Linked DNA regions of Saccharomyces cerevisiae S288C. The protein of the gene in region 2 interacts with the protein of the main gene of each other region in a pairwise test. Each region holds a gene or a part of one and is shown on either strand. Other genes may lie near its edges.

The links. The genes of interacting proteins can lie anywhere in the genome.
Region 1: the proteins of NEO1 (region 2) and DOP1 interact in binary tests that used the Saccharomyces cerevisiae proteins (3 or more experiments, as listed by UniProt).

Annotation. Positions count from the first base shown.
Region 1 is NC_001136.10:737,958-741,716, forward strand, and holds the start of DOP1 (Dop1p), read right to left. Parts: upstream 2,041-3,759; coding exon 1-2,040. Other genes in the region: PEX7 (Pex7p), read right to left, coding at 2,516-3,643. UniProt on the Saccharomyces cerevisiae protein: Required for traffic between late Golgi and early endosomes, and for the normal structure and organization of the endoplasmic reticulum. Required for normal cellular morphogenesis.
Region 2 is NC_001141.2:259,489-263,247, reverse strand, and holds the start of NEO1 (aminophospholipid-translocating P4-type ATPase NEO1), read right to left. Parts: upstream 1,812-3,759; coding exon 1-1,811. Other genes in the region: DFG10 (putative polyprenol reductase), read right to left, coding at 2,329-3,090; PCL7 (Pcl7p), read right to left, coding at 3,478-3,759. UniProt on the Saccharomyces cerevisiae protein: Flippase that catalyzes the hydrolysis of ATP coupled to the transport of lysophosphatidylserine, phosphatidylethanolamine, and phosphatidylserine from the lumenal to the cytosolic leaflet of the Golgi apparatus membrane and ensures the maintenance of asymmetric distribution of phospholipids.

The DNA.
Region 1 (3,759 bases), on a different chromosome or scaffold from region 2:
AATTTCCACAATTCCAACGATTTCTTCTGATTTTGCATCATTATTAGATTCACAAAGCCTGGGAATAGCCTCAAATATGCTCTGAGTTATTTTTTTATCCGACCAGCTTATGTGAGATCGTCCTTTAAGTTCTTCAGACTCAGGTATCTTTTCGAAAATAGCTATAAATAATTTGGAGCTTTCATTGATATTTTCCAAGTCCCATAAACTTGAAAGAAGCTTCTTCTGAATCAGGTCTGCTATTAAAAAAGTTAGATCTTCTGTTGTAAAGGGTGGCAAACGCTCAGCTATATTTTCTTTCTCTAAAATGCTAGATGGATTAGAAACATTGGTATAAAACCCACGTATTTTGGCCAAAAGTTCTTCGCAGCTTACTTCATCATCGTGCTTTAGTTTTGAGTGACTGAGAGGGAGAAGGGCTCTCTCGGGGATATAGTTTAACAATTTGTTGTACAAAGAAAATTTTTGGAGCTTATAAATATTGTCGAAATCTTTATCATTAGATGGAAGGGCCAGTAAAGTTAATAATATCAAAGGAAGGTGGCGTACGATAATCTCTTCGTCGTTTCCAATATTAAAATTTGTTAATACGAAATCCAAAATTTTTAGGTTTTTGATGTCTTCAAGTTCTTGAAATAGCTTTCCCCATATAATATTTGTTTCAGTATTGTCAAAGAAAGTACGTGCCGTTTTCATTATTTGTTCGTTTTGTTTAAATTTTTCCGAGGAATAGAGAAGTGGGATGAACAATTCAGGAATTACAAGTGAGCCAATTTCCCATCTATCCATTACTGCCATACTTATCCTGAATGCAGTTAACACGGATTCTTCTTCTGAAAGAAGGTCGCTTAAACCTTCTAAAAGGGCGCTTAATCCATATTTTGTAAAATATACATTACTTTCCTCGTTTGCTGACTTAACCGAGGTAGTATATTCCATGGAGTTCCCGCCGTTATTGTTTAGCATGCCCCCAGCAGTAGGACCGAGAAGCCAGTTCCATATTCTTCTGTTCAAAGACATATCCTTGCTCAAAGTAGTTCTACAACAACTCATTATCAATAACTTTTTATCCTCAGAAGTAATAAGAACATTCAAAACGGGAGAGTCTAGCCTCAACCTCTGTAATAAAAGGTCCAAAACGCTCCTTTTAATAAGAATATCATTTTCATCTTCTAAACAACCGACAAGGCATCGGATAAGTAGACCTGGTTCAGGGGTTACTAAATCTTTGGCAGCAGGCAATAAGACCTTGAAAGCTTCTTCTTTTCTTTTTTTCCTGTCTAGATGAGAATCGTTGGTTTCAGTTTCACTTGGGTTCTCTTCCGCTTCCATTTTTATTTTATTTACTAGATGAGGTACAGCATTCAACGACGGAAACTTTCTAGTCAACCACGTGAGTCCGCCCAGTCTTCTGCCTTTATTTGCAGTCATGACTAGAAACAACGTTTGCCAAAATAAGGAATCATCATCCAAGTTCTCCTGCAGAGTCTCAATGAGTTTTAAAGTTAAAGGTAAAAAATCGTTGCTTTCATCATCAATTCCTGGCAATAAACTAGAAATCAAAGGTCTGATGAGCAGTCTTAACGTTGTTTGAGGCAACAGAAGGATATAGTTATCGTAAAGCTCTATCAAATGTGACCTAACAGACATAGAGGCATAAGTCATCAAAGGTAAAATTCCCGGGATCCAAATGTTACATTCTGTAGCCAGAGTTTCAAGGCCAATATGTTCAAAGATATACGTATATACTTCTAAAGTTTTCTGATGAACACCTGCTGGTAACGCCGGCGATAATGAGGATGTCAATCTTCGACTTACTTGATATGGAGAAGGAACATAGTACCTTACATTCTGAAATTTAGGTGACCAGCTTTGCAACGCCTTTAATAGTGTTCCCAAACTAGCAATATAGTCCGCCCATTCTGTTACAGAGTCAAATCTTTCTAATGCTCGCTCGACATTAGCACGAAACTTCTTCTGTTTGGAGTCTAGTTGTTTATTATTTGAGTCAATTGTAAGGGGCTTTAGTGGTAAGGACATTTTTTGTCGATCCTCTCAGAAAAAGCTGCTCTGTCGGCTTTTTATTTCACCGTTATAAACATAATTGGGAGGCTTGAGTTTTATATTAGGTATTGCTATTGTTCCTTTTCCAGTGAGATCGAAGCTTAGCCTTTGAAAAAACCAAAATCACTTTTGATCACGTGCCTCGGGTGGAACGCCCAGCAAATATATAAGTATGTCGTTTATTAATAAAACGGTAATCGGACTCTAAATATTCCTTCTTTCAGCACTCGCTTATGTCGTTATAAAAACTTGATTAATTTGAGTAATTAGCAGTTTTTGCCGTAGGTATGTTTTTAGAATGTTCTTTTGCACAGTCAGAAGCGTTGTTACCCATAATTTCGTGTTGAGAATATTAAATAATTACGTAAATGATCTGCCAAATGCTGACAATGATTGAAAAATAATTTTAAAGTTTAAATAATGCAAAAAATTTGTGTAAAAAGAATATGTGTCAACCTAAGCCGTTCCATACAAATAAATTTCCATCCCATGCAGTTGAAGCCACATATCCTGGCTTTCCCCACAAGCTCCAGTCAGCTCCAAATACGAATTCTGAATGCTGTGTGAAATTGAAAATGGAACCTTTAGTAGCATCCGTAGAGTTAGTTTTATATGTTTCTTTTGCACCATCGTTGCTGAGATCTCTCCATATTCGACAGGTCATATCATATGAAGCTGACATTAAAATATTGGAATGATGAGGGGACCAGGTAACTTTTCTGATTGCCAGCCCGTGCGCATTAGGGATTTCATTGATGCATGATGAATTGTGAAGTTGGCCGGGCACAGTCCTCTTGATAGTCGCTGATTCATTTTTATTTAGCATCCTAATGTCCCAGATTCTAATGGCATTATCTACACCTCCTGTGGCAACTACATAAGGTCTGTATTTGTTGAAATCGCAAGTCAATGCTTCTAGTCCTGAATGCACTAAAAAATTATTCTGATTTTTGCCGGAAGGTAGTCTAATGTCAAATAAGCTTGCATAAGAATTCCCTGAACAGGATAATACGAGATTTTGGTCGTGGGGCGAGAACTGTGCTTGGTATACACAGTTCCTGTTTTTTGAAATACCTGTAAAGCTTTTCTTTTTCAATATAATGGCGTTTAATGGATCCACCATTTTGGTAATCTCTAAAGGTCGTGGAGTAAGGGTCATTAAACTTTGCTTTCTTAGAGGGGACCATATTTTTATAGATCCATCCCATGAACTACTTAAGAAATTCTGCCTGTTGACTAAGTTCCAATTACAACTGAATACTTCTCGTTCATGCTCTTTAAATATAGCAATAGGAAACTCTTTAAAGGTTGTATCAAACAAGCGTAATGTACCATCGCCCTGTGCAACCAACACTTGGTTTTCATGACTTTCGTTCCATGCAAGATCAAATAAACAATCCTGTGTTAAAAAGGAATTAACTTCCACTATTCTACCTGAACGATCAATCTCAAGGATGAACAATTTTCCATTCCCAACCAGGCCAAAGTTTGAACCAGCAGCTACCGCGAGCCTGTTATCGAAAAAGGGAGAATACTGGACACCGTACCCACTAAAACCTTGCATATGATATCTGAGCATGTTGTATAAATTATGCAAAAAGTTAGATGATAGTCCGTTAACAATATGAGATCTCTGCACTTTTCGAGCGTCGAATTCCAAATCAGAAAGAAAACGATTTCGACCTCCGGTAAAAG
Region 2 (3,759 bases):
GTAAATTTAACAATAGCAATTTCATCAGGTGATGCCGCTTGATATGTAAGTTCGTCATCCTCAAAAGTGGGAGTAACGTTATGGCAAATTGCTAGAGTTAAAATCATATCACGTACACGAAAAGACATATCCTTTCTTGTTGTTGATAAGGCAACTTTAGAATTGTTCAAAGAGTCATTTTTAGAGCTCACCAGAGATTGTACATAGTCGGATACAATGTCTAATGTTTCCGACGTGTATGATACAGTACCCAAGTGTATTTTCTTCAATTGCATATCATTCTGAGTAAGCGTCCCTGTTTTGTCGCTTAGAAGGTATTCAATACGGCCTAAATCCTCTGGAATTGTACTCGTTCTAACAATTGTTTCAGGAATGGTTTTATCGTGTTCGATCTGATGTGCATAAACACTTTTGGCTAAATCTAAATTAACTCTTAAAGAGACAGGGATGATGGTAGAAAACAATATCAGATACCTCAAAATGTCAATGTACCAGTCGTCATTGTGGAAACCGGCAAATGCAACTAAAAGAATTGACAGGGCAAAAACACATGCACAAAGAATCTTGGAAATACTGTTAATTTCTAGCTCTAATAAGCCAGTTTTAACCTTAGCTGTAGTTGTATTCATAGCTTGCCTAGTATCTCTGCCAGTGTAGACGACACAAGCAATACAAAATCCACTGGAAGCTAGAACAGTATTCGCCCATAGAGTATTATCTACAGACAAAGGGTTTGAAGTGGAATCCTTATAGGTAACTTTACCTAAAAATTTATGAATAGATTTCTCAGGAGCAGAGGCTGTTATACTAATTCTGTTAATTAAGTCATTTTCAGATAGATTTTGGGTCAAGGGACAGGCAACACGTAGTTTCCAGTCAGTCTCCCCATCTAGTTGGTCAGTTTTGATAAATGACTCGCCTGATGGTTCACTTGATTGTAAAAGAACCAAATCAGCGGGAATACGATCACCTTTATGGACTTTTATGAGATCTCCAACTTTTAAGTCTTTGCTTGGTATGGAACGATTTCTCGTTATTACATGATACAGTTCATTGTTTGACTCTCTATCACGTCTCCTTCTCTGAATATCATCTATAGCTTCCTTTGCCATGGTTACTGTCAGCACAAATGCTAAAGGTACAATATACGATGATAAATACCCTATTCTTAGTGCAGGAACGGCCTGCGATAATGCAACTACTAAAAAGTATAAATTGTAAAAGAATTTGAACTGTTCATATAATAGGGTTGGCACAAAAGTAACGGCATTATATTTGGCATTAGATAGTTCATTCGAAACGTATCTATTCCTATCGTACACAGGAGTCGTGTCTGGATGTATTTCTCTTTCGATGTGTTGATCACTGAGTTCTATGGGTGAACCAAACTTGGACCAGTTTTTTGTGTTAGATACTTTTAAATATGAGAGGGCTTTTGAAAAAATATTGTTTGAAGACGACGGTGGTGACGAAGCAATATTAGTAAATTTGAAATTATCATCCTGCGAGAGGCGATTATCATACATCAAAGGATGGGTATCTGTGTTTGAAGACTTACGATGCGAATCCGAAGAATGGTTAGAAAAATTGTCTAAATCATCTACTGTTCTCATTTCAAAACTTTCCCTATCTCCAACAGTGTTATGCTTACTAAGTGGTTCTGGGTTATTATTAATTTGTAAACTGTCTAAAGCAGCGTCAAATGAATCGTCGAGATGTAAGTCAAAAGAATCTACACTGTTTGCGTGTTGATTATTGTTGGAGTTGAATAAATTCTGCTTATGTGACTTAAATGAAGGAGGGTTAGGCATTTGTCTCTGAAGTTTTCCGTGCACACTGATACCCCTTTCTTTTTCAGATTAACGTTATGCCACACAAGTGCTCTGATTGTTACTTTTTCTCAATTGCTTAACGGTATATTGCTGTTAATAAGCTGATTGTTGAGTACTGTATAAGCTTCAAAAATCCAGATGAAATCTTTTATTGCGTAGATCAGGCTTCTAATAGCAGCAAATTCAGGTGAAACAATGCCTAAAATATTAAATAAAAAATAGGTATTGAGTAATTTTGGTCCTCGTTTTAAGTAACGAATGTGTCCGAAATTCCCAAGATGTCTAACCTTTTGTTTGGCAGTGATAGGTCTTAGCCACTGTGCCAGTATTTACTCTTTCCAACTGCCTCAAAAAGGTATGGCCTTACCTTCGTTTTTAATGACACGTATACGAGCCTTTGCTGTCTAATTAGTGGTAAAGTGATAATAGTGAAAGTAAAGTGGTTCTTTACCGCGTCTATATATATATGTATATGAATGCCCTAGTGTGCACATTACTAGATTATAAAAGGTATTATGGCGTAGGGGGCTACGTGATTGTCTTTAAATTTGTGCCTGTAATAATTTTTTGTTTCCAATGCGGATATAGTCAAACTTGTGATTACCCAAACTAGTGTTAGGTAAAATTCTTGTTCATAGGGCAACAGAGTAGAATAAATGATTATTTCATCGAGATAATGAGGACAGCATACCAACCTGAAAAGCCTTCCTGTTGGCAGCGAATATTTAACCAGATTGGCCAGAATAACATGATTTTTGTACTGATCCCAAGATGCTATGCAGAATATGATGAAAGCATTCATGTTTAACGTATTTGGAATGGAGTTCTTGTACAGTGATATATTAAGAATTAACAAGAGTACGGAATAGAACCATATACCGACTAGATAATGGGACCAATTCATCCTAGAATTGCTTGTATAATGTAGTACATAAAGCGTTTCATAAAGTCGGCGCAATGAGTGTCCAAATATGATCCAAACGATGGGGAATTTAGGATAGAAATATAAGGTGACTAAGGATAGAAAGGTAGCCAAATAGTAAAAATGGGAAAAATACGCCTTTGGAACTGTGAACTTCTTGATTCGTTCTAAAATGCTTGAGTACTTTGAATTCTCTTTGGGCCGGTAGGTTTTACCATATTGAAGAAATTCTGGTAGACAACTTTTTGCTATGAAAAGTGAGCAAATGCCTACAAAAAAGGATAATCTATAGGCATATATAGTATATTTTAGCAATTGTTCTTCATCAAAGTACATTGGACTGGTAGATTCTACGTTTTAAGCCAGATCGGTCCGCCGATAAACCTATTTATATTCCACATTTGGTATATTTTTACTTTTTCGAAACGTCCTTAATTCTCATTTTGGAAAAAAAAGAGAAAGCATAATACTGAATAGAACAAGGACCGAATTTCTCTTTACCGGTAGATTATGATTTATTTGGGCAAAAAGTTTTTTTTTTCATTCTATTGCAATAGCTATCATTTCAGGAGAAATGCTACTAATATGAAAAACCACTGATTTAAAAGGAATATTAAATTATTTAAATATAACCGATATGTACGCGTTACGTAAATCAGAAATTGATATGTATAATACGAGTAACGGTAAGGGAAGGGCATGAATAATATGCAGGACAGCATTCTACTGGTCGTTCCAGAATTTATATAACAAGTTTGCATATTTCTGCATTTCTTCGACTGAAACCAATAACTTGAAATCACATAGTATCAGGAATTGTAATTCTAAATGGTTTAACTCTTGCAAAGAAATACCTCCAACCTTGGCGTATCGAGAGTTACTGTAAAAAAAATCACTCAAGAACTTCGTGCAAATTGTGACACCTGTTATGAGCAATCTATGAATGTTCCCGGAGTCCATGACGAATAATTGCTTTGCGCAACCATTACGCTCAGAAGAATGCCC